2 linked regions of the Drosophila melanogaster genome follow. The protein of the gene in region 1 purifies or fractionates together with the protein of each later gene. This does not show direct contact. Each region holds a gene or a part of one and is shown on either strand. Other genes may lie near its edges.

The links.
Region 2: the proteins of Uxs (region 1) and CG34205 purify together in Drosophila melanogaster (affinity purification with mass spectrometry, with the first as the bait; one large-scale study listed by BioGRID). This does not show direct contact.

The regions. Positions count from the first base shown.
Region 1 is NT_037436.4:8,178,107-8,185,922, forward strand, and holds Uxs (UDP-xylose synthase), read left to right. Parts: upstream 1-2,816; 5' UTR 2,817-2,934; coding exon 2,935-3,577; intron 3,578-3,644; coding exon 3,645-3,826; intron 3,827-4,113; coding exon 4,114-4,614; 3' UTR 4,615-5,263; downstream 5,264-7,816. Other genes in the region: Nmt (N-myristoyl transferase), read right to left, coding at 17-221; mthl7 (methuselah-like 7), read right to left, coding at 570-768, 832-1,006, 1,071-1,322, 1,384-1,560, 1,736-2,408; ERR (estrogen-related receptor), read right to left, coding at 5,413-6,321, 6,378-6,936, 7,461-7,483.
Region 2 is NT_033778.4:22,127,643-22,134,239, reverse strand, and holds CG34205 (uncharacterized protein), read left to right. Parts: upstream 1-2,940; 5' UTR 2,941-3,029; coding exon 3,030-3,107; intron 3,108-3,272; coding exon 3,273-3,596; intron 3,597-3,659; coding exon 3,660-3,911; 3' UTR 3,912-4,126; downstream 4,127-6,597. Other genes in the region: NtR, read right to left, coding at 4,127-4,249, 4,310-4,476, 4,549-4,689, 4,755-5,286, 5,359-5,546, 5,615-5,767, 5,827-5,958, 6,064-6,385.

The sequences.
Region 1 (7,816 bases):
CATATTGAAAACTTACTTGCATTCGCAGACACTGAAGCCTCATTCTTGGCACCATCAGGCTGCTCCGCATCCTCGTTTCCTGCTGCATTCGTCGATGCCGTGTCCTGGATATTTAAGCCGGCAACAACCTTTTCGAGCATTGCCTCCGATGCGTCGGCCACCTCCTTGGCCTTCTGCTTTAGCTCTTGACCCGAGAGGTCCTCTGCGTTTTCGTTCGGCATATTTTGCACTGTATTTCTTTTTGAACAGTAAAGCAAATTAAAATTGCAATGAAATCGCAAAACTACAAGCAGAGCAGCTGATTTTTTTGGCGATACCTATCGATGTTTTTTAAAGAATCGAAAGTGGCTGGAGAATCAGTGTTACCAGAGGGTGGCGAAGTGAAAAGCTTGTCGCGGTGACCTCTTGGCAGTTTAAAGTACATCGTTTTCTAAAACTATATTTATTTATTGAGTTCAATAAAATTCAATTCAATTCCTTCGTTCAGCAAAGGATATTAATAAAATGAGGGGCTTTAATTGTTTAAAGCTTTAATTGTAAACAATTATTAGAATTATATAGAAACAAGCTTAAGAATCCATCATTAGAGTCCATGTGCTGCGCTTCAGGACGAGCAGAACGAACAAAACAATTCCAAACGCGCTGTGAAAATACTCGGATATTATCCCGACCCATTCCCAGAAAATGTGGAGCCGTGCAGAATACGGAATGACATTGAATATCCAAGTAAGGCCCATCACGATGGAGAGCCGCAGGAACTGTAGGTAACTATGTGGATAATACGGCAAGGATAACTAGTTTACCAAGGTCCAAGGTTTTATCATATCTTACGTCTGGCTGTCAAAGTTTATGCAGTTAATCCTTCCCTCCTCCTCATTTGTGAACTTATTTATACCCCCCTTCACTTTCCTAATGTAAATGGCTGTCAGGGCGAACATGGCGACATTGAAAGTGCTCAGGGCCAGCGACGGTCCACTTATATAGATCCAGACGGATGGGTGCCAATCTGATATGGAAAAGCAATACGTAACCATGGTAACGATTTAAAAGCAATCGCATTGAAAGTTTACCTTTGACCGAGCACCGAATAAAACCGACCAGAGGCAACCAGTTCCATTTACTGGGATCGTTTTCCCAAATCTGATTAACTATATAAATACTTCCCGTCATGATTGCGGCTGTGCTCCAGACGAAGGCGTTGTACCGCAGGAACCGATAGTTAGGGTCGACTCGATTGAGCGACGTCAAGACTTTCCACGTATGGTAGCTGATGACGGAGAGCCAGAGGTTGGAAGCCATCCGGAAAAAGTGCGAGCTGTAACCTGCAAGAAGTCAACGATATAACATTTAAAGCTTCCAGAGATATCTCCAATTCGAACTAACCAGCTGGAGAGCAAATGCCATTCAATAGATTTAAATGATCTAGTATCATGATCAAGCACTGGATAAACCTCGAAACTATACAGCATACAATGCACTTGCCAGTAACATTTCGCAGCTTCTTAATGTATAGATATACTGCGATTGTTAGGACAAAGCATATCATTGTTATAATTAGAACTGAAAAAGAAAATATAAGAAATAAAAAACCAGCTTATTGTAATTAAAAAACTTGCAAAGGGCACACAGAATGCAGTCAGCAGTTTGCACACCAATAAGGAGTTATTTTCGTTTCTTTCTATATAGCTATGAAAACGATATTGATGACTTTTGTTATAAATAATAATTGAATTACTCTCTAAGGATCCAGGAGATATGTGGCTTGTGCAGCGGTGTCGTATTATCCACATGGACTTTGGAAAATCCGAATCAAAGTTGTGCCGGTACAAGCAGTAGTCCTGTTTTTCCATGAAGAGGTCAACGGTAACCCAAAATTTTCCATCCTGGAACCAAACTATAAGTCCACATTTATTGAAGATTTGAATGCTAACCTCTTCTAAGAAATAGTTAAAGTCGCTGATGTAAATCATTTCATCACAATCAAAGAACTCATCTCTGATAATAGCCATATCGGTGAGTGGTACTCGTGCCTGTAGGTCCATGTATGTGAAGTATATATAGGGTTTGAACCGGGCGAGCTCCTCTTTGAGACCATCATCGCATTTTCCGTTGGCCAAAAAGTTCTTGGCTGGGCAGCAGATTCGAATACAGGGCCGCACGCTGCAAACACAGGCCCTTAAATGCTTTTCAATCGGCGTAATCGAACCGTCCCCAAACTGCCTGAACTCGTAGTATCCAGTTAAGCTAGCAGGAATTTCGATGTCATCATATAAATACGAATCGTTTTGCCTTTCAATGTATGAGATATCAACCGTGTCGTAGTAGTTGCACCCGGGAATATCTGCATTTGAGTTGTTCGTAAAAATTAAAAGCAGAACTGTACAGAAAATCACCCAAGGAAGCCTCATGCTGAGCACTACAACACTTGGCACTAAGAACTTTGCCCGACTGGCGATCGATGCTCATCGTTGGCAGTTTAAATAGCCTTCAATAGCCGTTTGGGCAAACACTTTATTCGGAAAGTAGTCCCTGCTGACCAGCCTAAGAAAGCCCTCAAACAAATTTAGTTTTCAAACTCATTTTTTGGCAATTTCCGACCTTTTATCGTTAAAACGAAAAATATTCGTCCCTGGGGAAGATCACCAACAAAAATGTCTAATTCATTATCAATTCATTATAATTTATAATCCAAAATCAAAATGTTCGCCTGTCGATACTTTTGATGTAAATTTTAAAATTAGGCGGGAGCTTTTCCCTGGCGTTAGATTATTAATCCATTTAGAAATTCCGTTTGAGCCATCTGGCCACTCTGGCACCTCCTGATAACGCAATTGTATTGTTTATATAGTTTCTAAAGCCGAACGAGAATGCAATGTGGCGATATCAGTTGCTGATAAGCACTGGAACCCTGCAGTACACAACCCATAACCGACGATGACTGCCACCAAAAAGCGTCTGAAGATCGTTGCAGCCATCTCGCTGCTCCTCCTGCTCCTGGTCTACCTTTACCGAATGGCCAGCTTCTGCCCAAGCGGAAAGGTCGCCGTTTCCGTTCCCGGCGTCGAGGAGGTTCAGGCCAAATGGCCGCCCACGGAAAGTCCGCTACAAAGGAGCCTTCAGATGGCGTACGAGGAGCAGAGCTCTCTTATTCGAGAACAAAAGGCCGAACTCCAGCGCACAAGGGAGAATTTGGCCAGATTGGAGGAACAAGTTCGTAGCCTCCAGACCAGCACACCGCGCAAGTATCCGAAGGTTAAATACCTGAACTATAAGAATCGCAAACGCATACTAATTACCGGAGGAGCTGGCTTCGTGGGCTCCCACTTGGTCGACGATCTGATGGTCCAGGGGCACGAGGTCATCGTGGTGGACAATTTCTTTACGGGACGCAAGCGAAATGTCGAGCACTGGCTGGGGCACGAGAACTTCGAGCTCATCCACCACGACATAGTGAATCCGCTTTTCATCGAGATCGATGAGATCTACCACTTGGCATCGCCAGCCTCGCCACCGCATTACATGTACAATCCGGTGAAGACCATCAAGACCAACACCATGGGCACGATCAATGTACTGGGTAAATATTTATAATATCAATCAAAGAAAATAAGGATTACACCTAACGAGTATATCTTTTTTGAAAGGTCTGGCCAAGCGCGTGATGGCCAAGGTTTTGATAGCTAGCACTTCGGAAGTGTACGGCGATCCCACAGTGCATCCGCAGCCAGAAACATACTGGGGACATGTAAACCCTATTGGACCGAGAGCCTGTTATGACGAGGGAAAGCGTGTCTCCGAGACGCTGAGCTATGCGTATGCCAAACAGGTAATACCTTTAGCAATATATATACTTTTTTGGATAACCACATTCCTAAGCCAGATCGAAAAAAAAACATTAAACTAGCTGAGATCCAGAAATGTGGCAGATTTTTCCTGTTTCGATCGCTAGTTGAGCATTAAATGATCTCAATTGGAATGCTATTAATTGATGTTCCGCTCGGTTGGCTGACGCGAGATAAGATTTCCAAGCGCGAGCACTGACCACATTTTTTGATCTTGGCCAGCAATCTGGGAGTCAAATTAATTGCTCTTTAAATGTATCTGTATCGACAGGAGAAAGTGCAAGTCCGAGTGGCGCGCATCTTTAACACTTATGGACCGAGAATGCATATGAACGATGGACGAGTGGTGTCAAACTTTATACTTCAGGCGCTGAGGAATGAAACCATTACGGTGTATGGAAATGGCAAACAAACGCGCTCCTTTCAGTATGTTTCGGATCTGGTGGACGGAATGATAGCCCTAATGGCATCCAACTACACACAGCCGGTGAATTTAGGCAATCCTGTGGAGCAGACAATCGGCGAATTTGCCGAGATCATCAAGAAACTGGTCGGCGGGCCCAGTGTGATAAAGCAATCGAAGGCCATGGAAGATGATCCGCAGCGCAGAAAACCGGACATAACTCGAGCCCGCCAGTTGCTCCATTGGGAGCCAAAGGTTCCCCTAGAGACTGGACTTCAGCGGACCATCTCCTACTTCCGCAACGAATTGGCGCGTAGCGATCGCTTTCAGGAAAGCTCCAACAAGTACTTTGATACACATACACCGTAGAATTAATTGGGCTTAGCTCTAATTGGTGATGATGGAACGTCTCTAGTCTGCAAATGTAAATATGACCATCGTTAGCACTAATTGTAAGCCCTCAAGGACCACAGAATACCTTTGTCATGGTTAATTTTTTGAAGTTTTGCGATATATCAGCCTATGTATGGATTAGGAAATAGTGATGTATAAATGCGATCAAATGCACTGAATTCTAGAAAACTAATTTGAATTTGTTTAGGAAAAGAAAATCCCCAAAGAATACAGAACTTAGGGAGTATGGAAACAACAGTTACAAACGGTTTATTATTCACGGACGACATTGCTATTCTTTTGACCGCATGTGTACCACATAGACACAGAATCACTGGGTTACATGACACTTAGAAACAGTATAATCCATTGTATTGTAGAACCACTATCGTATTTTAAAAGTGCCCACAAATTCATACGTTACATCAGAAGGTTGCGGCATATACATATATCAGAACCAGTGAGAATTGAACAAATTATTGAAGATCTGTGACTCACAACTTTAGACACATAACACCTATATGCGCCTTTAACCAGTGTAAGCACACCCCGATTCTAGAAGATAAGTAGGGTTTTCCAGTTGCTGTAGTTGGTAGTCCATTAAAAGAGATTTTTTCTGCGAACTAATCTTACCCGACAAGTATTTTACTATTTATATACATGGCTTATCCTACGCTTAATCTACTCTAGTATACATCCATATATACCTAAGACTATATTTGCACCTTTGCTTATCAGCTAGATCAACTAGTTTGGGCGCCCGCATAATCCTTTTCACCTGGCCAGCGGCTCGAGCATCTCGAGGAACAGTTTCTTCATGGTAATGACTTCATCGCGTGCAATTCCACGCCAAAATCTTCGCAGGATATCATCCGCCTGCCGCAGCGAAGGCAGCAAAAGCAGCAATTGTTGCTGATGCGACACGGCCGACGAATGACGCAGCAAGTAGACCACATCGTTTAGAGAATTAAGAATCGTATCACGAAATGCGCGCAGGGAACTCTGATCATCCAGCAGAATGTCGCAGTTGGCCAGCAGGAGCGCCTTTAGCAAGTAGTACTCCTCCCTTCGTGGCGATATTCTTTCCATGCGCTGTGCGATCTGGACGCAGTGGTAGTAGAACTCCGTGTAACCGCACTCCTTGGCCAAATGTTCATCCATCCAGACATCCGTGGCGAAGCATAACTTGCCATTGAACGGTAGGGACCGGAAGGTCAGCTGGAGCGTCAGGATCTCTGCCCACGACACCTGGAGAAGCTTCATCTGGTCGTTAAGTGGCAGATCTATAAAGCCAGGTATCTGCTTGGCCCAGCCAATGACGCTGACCAATTCCTTGTCGTAAATATCACTAAGGACGCTTAGTATCTCATTGGGATCATTGTTGTTGTTGTTTTGGAAAATGCAAGTCCCATTGGGCGTAACAACGCTGGACTCCAGTTTTATGCTGCCCGAGGAGGATGAGGCCTCATCATTAGTTATGCTAGTCGTGTGGACTTGCGGCGGCGGCGTTTGGACGCTCAAGGCATCCGGCTCATATGAATTGAGCACCTCCAGTATCTTGACATCGCACAGCGAGGTGGTGTTGGATTGGTATAGCAGCTGCATAGTCTGGTAAGAGTTTGATACAGGATTCCTTCGGTACTTCTGCCGTCCTCCACGAACTCGATCCAAGCGCACACCCTCCTGAAAAGTTAAAGCGATTAGAGTTTAGGAACTTTAACTCGGGACTATGAAATTACCTTGAGCATGCCCATTAGTAGACATTTCTGGAAGCGACACGCTTGGCAGGCCTTGCGTCTCCGCTTGTTAATCTCACACTCGTTGTTCGCCGGACACGTGTACTCGATGTTGCCTTGGATGGTGCGTTTAAAGAACGCTTTGCAAGCCTCACAACTCGCCACACCATAGTGGAATCCACTGGCCACATCGCCACAAACCAAACACAATCGGCGGAGCTCGTCCCTGACGGATCCCGATCCAGCTCCGGCACTCGCATTGGTCGCATTTCCACCACTCGTACCACCACCTCCTCCTCCGCCATTGCCGCCACTTGTACCACTTCCTTTCAGACTATCGCCATCATTGCTTAAGGATACATTGTGCAAATCGCAGGATAGAGAGGTCGTCGAGCTGCAGAGCTGCCTTTCCGGCGAAACCGAGGGCGAGGATTTCAGGCCGTTTGTGCCACTCTGCGTGGCCGTTGACTTGGAGCTGGGACTAAAGCAGGACGCCGATGGAGTGTCCACCTCCTGTTTGATGTGCAAGATGCTGACGCCGTCGGACATGTTCGTGCCTTGGCTGGGTGAGAAAAAAAGAGTTGCGGATAAAATAAGAAATATGTTTCAACAAGTTAAAGCCTTTGATTTGAACTTCAAGAAAATGATTGATTAGATAGAGGACTCGAGATACAAGGTTTAGGATAAACGATATGGTACGATATGAGGATCAACCCAAAATGCGGAGAGAAATGAACAAGTAAAGAGTTGAAATGTGGGAAAAACGTTCAATTTCGCCAAATCACCGCGATAAAGATCGCTTTAGTTTAATGTCAAATAGAACGCGCTGCACAGTGGTAAACATAGAACCCAAAAACGGGTACTTTACAATTCCAACGCTGTTATCTGGACTTATGAATGAGTAGTGCCATTGGAGCCCACAGTGCTGGGCTAGTCGCATGAAACCTGGTCACGGAATTCTTAATGAATGCAAAACGTAATTGTAATTAAGCCGCGCAAAAACCAAAACAAACGGCGGTCCGTCCAGTGCAATTCGAATGCGATCCTCGGATTCACAAGTGAACGTATGCAAGCTCTATAGCTTACCCTTCTCCCGCGTAGAACTTCATCGGTGGTCGTGGAAAAGTACGGGACAGAAATGAACTGAAATCCGAACCGCGCGCCGTGAGTGCGATAACAGCACTGTGCGTGGAGTACCTTCCAGCTGAAGGTACTACAAATCACGACGCACAGTGCTGACATTGATTAGGCAAAAGCGAAGTAAAATAAAATCGAAAAGGGACAGTGGTGGAAGCGAAGCTTTAATACCCTAACAATTGGCAACCAATTGGAATGCCAGCACTCTGACCTCATTATCAGCTAGGCACTGAACACGAGTCTATATTTAGACTAGTCATATACAATATACATAATCTGTCTGCCAGGAAATGGTCATATATCCC
Region 2 (6,597 bases), on another chromosome or scaffold:
AAAGGTTATATATACTACTATAAATCTAGCCAACAATATTATATTTTTTTTTGCAAATGTTAACTTATATTTCAAAACAAAGTTTGTAATACAAGTAAATTACATAAAACATAAAATATACATGACAGCTATCTACGTCCGCTGTCCTAAGCTACGCCATCTGTTGGTCATGAAAATTGAGCAGAACATCTGTTAGATGGCGCCACTAAGCCAAGCTTATCTTTAAGCTAAGACAGCGAAAAAGCTAGTTTTAAATTTAAGCTTACATCAAACCCGTTTCACCTTAGCGCAAACATTAAGAGCATTTTAAATTTAAATATTTTGTATTTTATTAAATATTATTTATTAATCACGCCATTTAACATACACAAATATCCATAGACAGGATCGTTATAGCCCGTTTTCCTCTATTTAATCAGCCCACTTTATCTGGACCATTACCATGGCAATAATCATTTCACAACCGACCGCCTCGACGCAGTCATCCCATAAATACACCACTTACCACCAATTCCTGTTGACGAAAAACAAACAAGAAGGCGACAAAATGGCCAGCAGTCTATGGAGTAGAAACAGTCATTGATTTGCAGTCAGTTGGGATTGCTAAATGCAAAATGGACTCGGAATACACAAAGAAAAAAATTAATTCATTTACAAGACCTCCAAATATGTATATATATATCATCACATGGAATTTTTCTGCTAGCTTAAAATATTATCCAAATTGTAATCGATTTTTAAGGGAATCATACATTTGAAAACAAATTCATCAAAGTTGGTGCGGTGCATTTCAAAAACTTCCAGTCACGTCAGCAGCGAGGCTCTAAGTTTGTCAGCTCCCAAAAGCTGAACTCCAAATCCATTTCCATGTCCACCACGATTCATTCATTAATTCAGGCAAAGCGTCATAAATGCCACGCGGTTTTTATTTGGTTTTTCAGGCTGGTTGATTTCGTCGTTTGTTTTTGATTTAATTAAGCGGCGCTTTTCCATTTTGCAATGTTTTTCTTGGCCGTTCCGCGAAGCATTTGCAAGTCAAATGCAGCGGCGTTAATTAATTGAATGGATCGAAAAATAACGCATACGCAGCGTGCGCCGCGAAGAATTCTGCGCTTGCGATCCATTGGGCAATCGCTTTGAATTCTCTCATCCATTCTGTGGCCAGTGGCTAATTAGGCCCGTCATCCAAAATTCGCGGCATTTTGCACCCATTTTGGAGCACACGCCGCCCGATCGCCAAATCCAAATGCGGCTAAAGACTCGCCTCTCGATCGAAGCCATAAAAACCAAGACGAGGATCGATCGGCTGATCGCCTTAAATCGTCATTTAGTATGTGGCAATTTGGCATTCGAGTTTGCCACCCTTCTGATCCACCGACCGATTGCTGGAAAATTGCTTTCCACCTGGCCAAAATGTGGGGCAGTGGCTGGGAAATCTTTTATTTATGAGGACCGGCGACACACCGACCACAACACACAACACCGATCTGTCCGCATCTGTCCGGATCGAATTGGACATGGAACACTTGTTTGGCAGTCGCCGACCACTGGCAACAATTGCTCCTATTGACTTAATATTTGCTAATAGAATTCACATAAATCACATTCCACTGGCATGCATGATTTATGCATGAACTGCGATCGCAGGTGACTCTCTGTCTCTTTTGCGGCGTTTCGTGCTGTCCTTTTCTCATTGTGCTAAGTTTTTTTTCGAGTTTTTTTTACGAGATTTCGGCGTTGAAGTGGTGTTTTCGAGACCTCTTGAGAGGAACTCCACTGAAGTGCTGCAAGTTGCATGCGCTAATCTGAGACATTATGTGCTTTCCAAACTTTAGTTTCTTAACCCTAATATATAAAGCAAGTATTTAAACACGGACTACCTTATTGTCTCAAAAAGTTATGTAAAGTCCACAAAAATATAAATCATTTAAGAAATGAATATATACACCATATCTATACTTAAAGCGAATAAGTGATATAATGATTACTTGAGACACTATTAATCCGTGATAAGGATCACGACGAGCATTCTCAACAATTTGTAGCATTATTAATTTTGTGATGACCCAATGTCACACCTCCGTACCCCCGCACATCCCGTGGGGTTAATCAAGTCGGCCATAAAAAATCCCACGAACTGCCAGATGCTGAACCGGCAATTTCAGCCGGCAAAGTCGATGGATCGATGGCGAGTTGAAGCTGGAGCTGGAGCTGGCGAACTGGGGCCTCCACTCGATCCAAACCCCCTCGCCACGCACGAGTGTCCTCGAGACGAGACGGCGTGGCTGCGGCTGAAATCACCCATCCAATATGGTCAAATGTGGCACGCAGCGGCATTCGAGGCACGATAAAGATAAATATGAAGCTCGCCTAGATATTTCGGCCAGAGGGGATTGCTGCTTGGTGTTTGGTTTTGGCGTTTGCCGATTTGGCAAGCGTTCATTATGCAATTTGGAGAGAATTTCCCAGCGCCACGCCGAGAATTGTTTCGAGAATACTCAAACATAGCAACGAAAACAATTAGACGGCATTCTACGTTGGCTAATTAAGTTGTTAGTGGCAAGGCTGCGTGCTTTCGAGGGGCGTGTCACCTGGCGCGTTGCCCAAATTGGCCAGCTAATCAGCGATTTCAATTAGCGTGCGCTTTCCAAATGCGAGCCACAATGGCACCCCCAGTGTAAAGACCGCCTTTCCTGCGGCGACTCCTTAGCCGGCAAGTGGTCTGCCTTCGGTTCGGAGCTCCCAACTCCCAGCTCCAGTTCAGGTTGCGTCATCCGCGTTTGGGGGCTCTCCAATCCGAGCTGCGTCTACGAGAATTGCAGTTTCACTGCAGCCGAGATACTTCACAAATTGGTGCTGCTTGGCCCGCTTTGTTGACTGCTGTCTGCTGACTGTTTGTCCGTCCGAGGCTCAGATCGAAATCTAGTCAAGATCTGTCCGCTCGACCACCTGTCCTCCGGTCCGCAGTTCGCAGTCCGCTCGAGAGTGCGAGTGCGTGGTCTGCCGTCGAGGGGTATAAAAGTAACGCAATGCACACGTCCACTTACAGTTGCAATTCTCCCTCCAAGCCAAGTGATTCGTTATCCAGCGCTAGCATGAAACTTCTGGTGAGTGGAAAGGGTTGGAAAGGATGCGGCCTAGGATCAGTATTATCACTTTAAGCCAATAATACTGACTGCAAAGGATATCTTCATACAAGGATTACCTCGATCTTATATTCACTAGATCAAAAAGATTAACATCAAAGTTTGGTTTTCCATTTACCTCGCCAGATCCTTACCTCTCTGCTGGCTGTGGCCACTGCTGCTCCTGGACTCCTTGATTATGGACACTCGGCTCCGGACTACAGCTACGCCCATGCCGCTCCTGCCATAACATATGCAGCTGCAGCTCCAGTCATCAAGTCCTACGCTGCCCCAGCCATCACCTATGCGGCTCCAGCTCCGGTGATCAAGTCCTATGCCGCTCCAGCCATCAGCTACGCCCATGCCGCTCCTGCCATCAGCTACGCCGCTCCCACGGTGGTCAAGTCCTATGCTGCTCCTGTGGCGGTCAAGGTGGCAGCTCCAGCCACCAGCTACTCGCACTTCAGCTCGGTAAGATCTGGATATACTCTGATATTTTCCCATTTAATCTTACAATCTACTTTGCATGCACAGGTTGTTTCCCATGCCACGCCCATTGTTAAGTCGTACGCTGCGCCTGCCATCGCCTATGCTGCTCCAGCTCCGGTGATCAAGTCCTATGCCGCTCCAGCCATCAGTTACGCCCATGCCGCTCCAGCCATCAGCTACGCTGCTCCCACGGTGGTCAAGTCATATGCGGCTCCAGCCATCAGCTACGCAGCTCCTGCCCTGGTTAAGTCATACGCTGCACCTGCCCTGTCCCTGGGTGGATACGGTTACCACTAAGCTCCGATACCAAAACACTCCAAATCCAAATCGATCCCGGATCGGAGTTGGAACAATGGCAGCAATTAACTGCGAGGAGTCGCAACAGCCCAGCACGCTCTCCCACTTTTTCAACTTGTAGTCGCAAAATCTTCACAATCTTCTCTGTTTACTTCTTATTTATTTAAGAACCATTAATATTCTCTCAAATGCACAATAAAGAAAAATTCTGTTTTTCAAAACCCACTCGTAATATCTACGATGGCAAAGGTTATAATGACCAAGATTGAACTCAGGTTGTTCAGGATCTTGGCCATATGGTGCCAGGGATTCTCCTGAATGTCGCAATAGTCGGTAGACTGTAGGAATATAGTGAATTGCAATACGTATATGTGTTCAATAGGGGCTTAACTACTCACATCCGAAAATCTCAATCCCAGAATGCATCGCAGAACATTGGAGTTAATCACCCTAACCAGCCAGCCAGGAGCCTTCGATCTGGGTGGATATAGATCCAGCCATATAATGCAGATGTGCAGAATGTAGCAATAGGTGGTGGTCATCATGATGACTTTATATGCAGTCACTGTAGGAAAAGTGAAAATTTGAATTTGAAAATTATACACAGTGAGTTTTAGTTAATTGATTTAAAACTTACTCATGGGCGGCACATAATGCGGAGAGGCGTAGCGCGTCATGTACATTAAACCCCAGGCGGCAATCAGCAAGGCGATGAGAATGAGGGAACTCCTACGAGTAGAACGCAGTACAAAGGACAAAATCAGGAACATCTGGCAGGCTGAAAGAATATATTGTAGTTATATGTTATTCCATAACAAGAAATCAAACACATTTTCATATTACCAATCAACGGCAAATAGAAGACGGTCATGTAGAAGCTCCGATTCCTTTGCAGCGTGAACTCAATTGCCACATCGCCGGTCATTTTCTGCATCATTCCCTTGGGGTTGTATCGCCTTTGCGAATCGTTCTCCACCAGCACCACGGACATTTGCGTGAACGACCAGCCGGATGGCGTGTTCACGTGCTCATTGGGCGCAATCGGCTTGCGCTGATCATCGTAGATTAGCGCCACATTCTCCTGCCCCTCCTGGCCATTGAGACCCAGCTCGATGTCGCAAGTCACTCGCTCGCTTGGCCAGTTTCGGGCACTGTCCACACACCAACTGGCCAGCTGGAGGTTTTGAGCGTACAGGGTGATGCTTCCGTTGGCGTAGACCATCAGCTCATAGGATTGGAGGACCTGACCCATGGATTGCAGGGCGCCGTTGAGGACGTTCATATGCGGCTTCCATATACGAAGGTCAGGATGTTCGAAAGATTCCAGCGAGCCGAAGTCCTCGGGTTTCCAGACAAGACGACTATCCCTCCAGTGCTGCATGGATAGGCGAATGTATCTTTACTGTTTCACACTAAATATTTGCATTTCGAGCTTATCTTTCATTACCATCATCATGTGCATGCGGGTCTGAAGCAAGGAACTGGTTTGCTCGTAGGCGAGGGAGCGCGTTTGGAAGTGGAACGATATGGAGCTGAGATTAGCCGGCATGCTTGCATTTTCCGCCTGGATATTCAGATGGCTTAGCAGTTTTTCCGTCTTCGTTTCCTCCTTCACTATCGGTGCAATTTCCGACCCTGAAATGGGTCAGTTTTAGAACATACTTACAGATATAGACTTATAGCTTACTATATATCATCCTTACCATAACCATCGAAGCCACAGTCGTAAAACCACCGCGCCGTATTGGAACCAAAGGAGCTGAAACTCAGATAGTTGATGACCAGCGGTGCTTCATCGATGAACTGCAGCAGGGGCTCCTTCTTGAAGCCGGGTATGTAAACAAACAGCTCGCCATCTGGAAATATACTGTGCGTTGGAGGGGCAGGGAATACCCGATAAGATGGGGGAACTCACTCTGGTTTTGGACAATCTCAATTGGCGTCGGGTCGTACAGCGATACCAAGTTCGGCTCTTGATTCGTGGCCACCCGCCTCATTCCCATAGCATTCCGGATTGCGGAAAACGTATTTCCGCCGGCTCCTATCACTGCAAGCGGAATAAAGATATCAATTGAATATTTAGGTAGGGTTCCACTAGAAAGAGCTCATTGAAATGCTGGAATTAAAACTGAATATTATTGATTTCACCCACCGATCTCGTAAACGCGATCATTTGGGCGCGGGTGATTCGTCACCGAGAGCAGGATGTGCGCATCCATGGCGGTCAGGACGTAGAATTTCAAGTGCAGCCGCTCTCCGGCCTTCCTGTTGTTGTTGCTCAGCTCGCGCAGCATGTAGAACCTCCGGTAGCCATAGCCCGTATTCGGAACGGAGTAGGTTTCGCAGGAATCCAGCTGGGCGAAGCTCACGTTGAATCTCGTTGACAGTTGTCCCGATTCCGCTGGGTCAATCAATATCAGTAGCAGGCACAGGCAGCAGTATGTTGCCAAGGAGCCCTTGATAAGGTTGTACATCGTATCGACCTGGACTTCTACTCCTCACAGCGGCTTAACTACGACTGAATTAGGAAGCCGACTTAAGTGAAGTGATAAGAAACGATGAACTAATGGTTGTTTCGATAAATAATACTGTTTTTTTTTTTTAATTTGAAGAGTATTTCTCAAAACCTCCTCGCATGAACGTTTATGCAAGTAGAGTGAAATTTCTTAATTGTACATAATCTCTG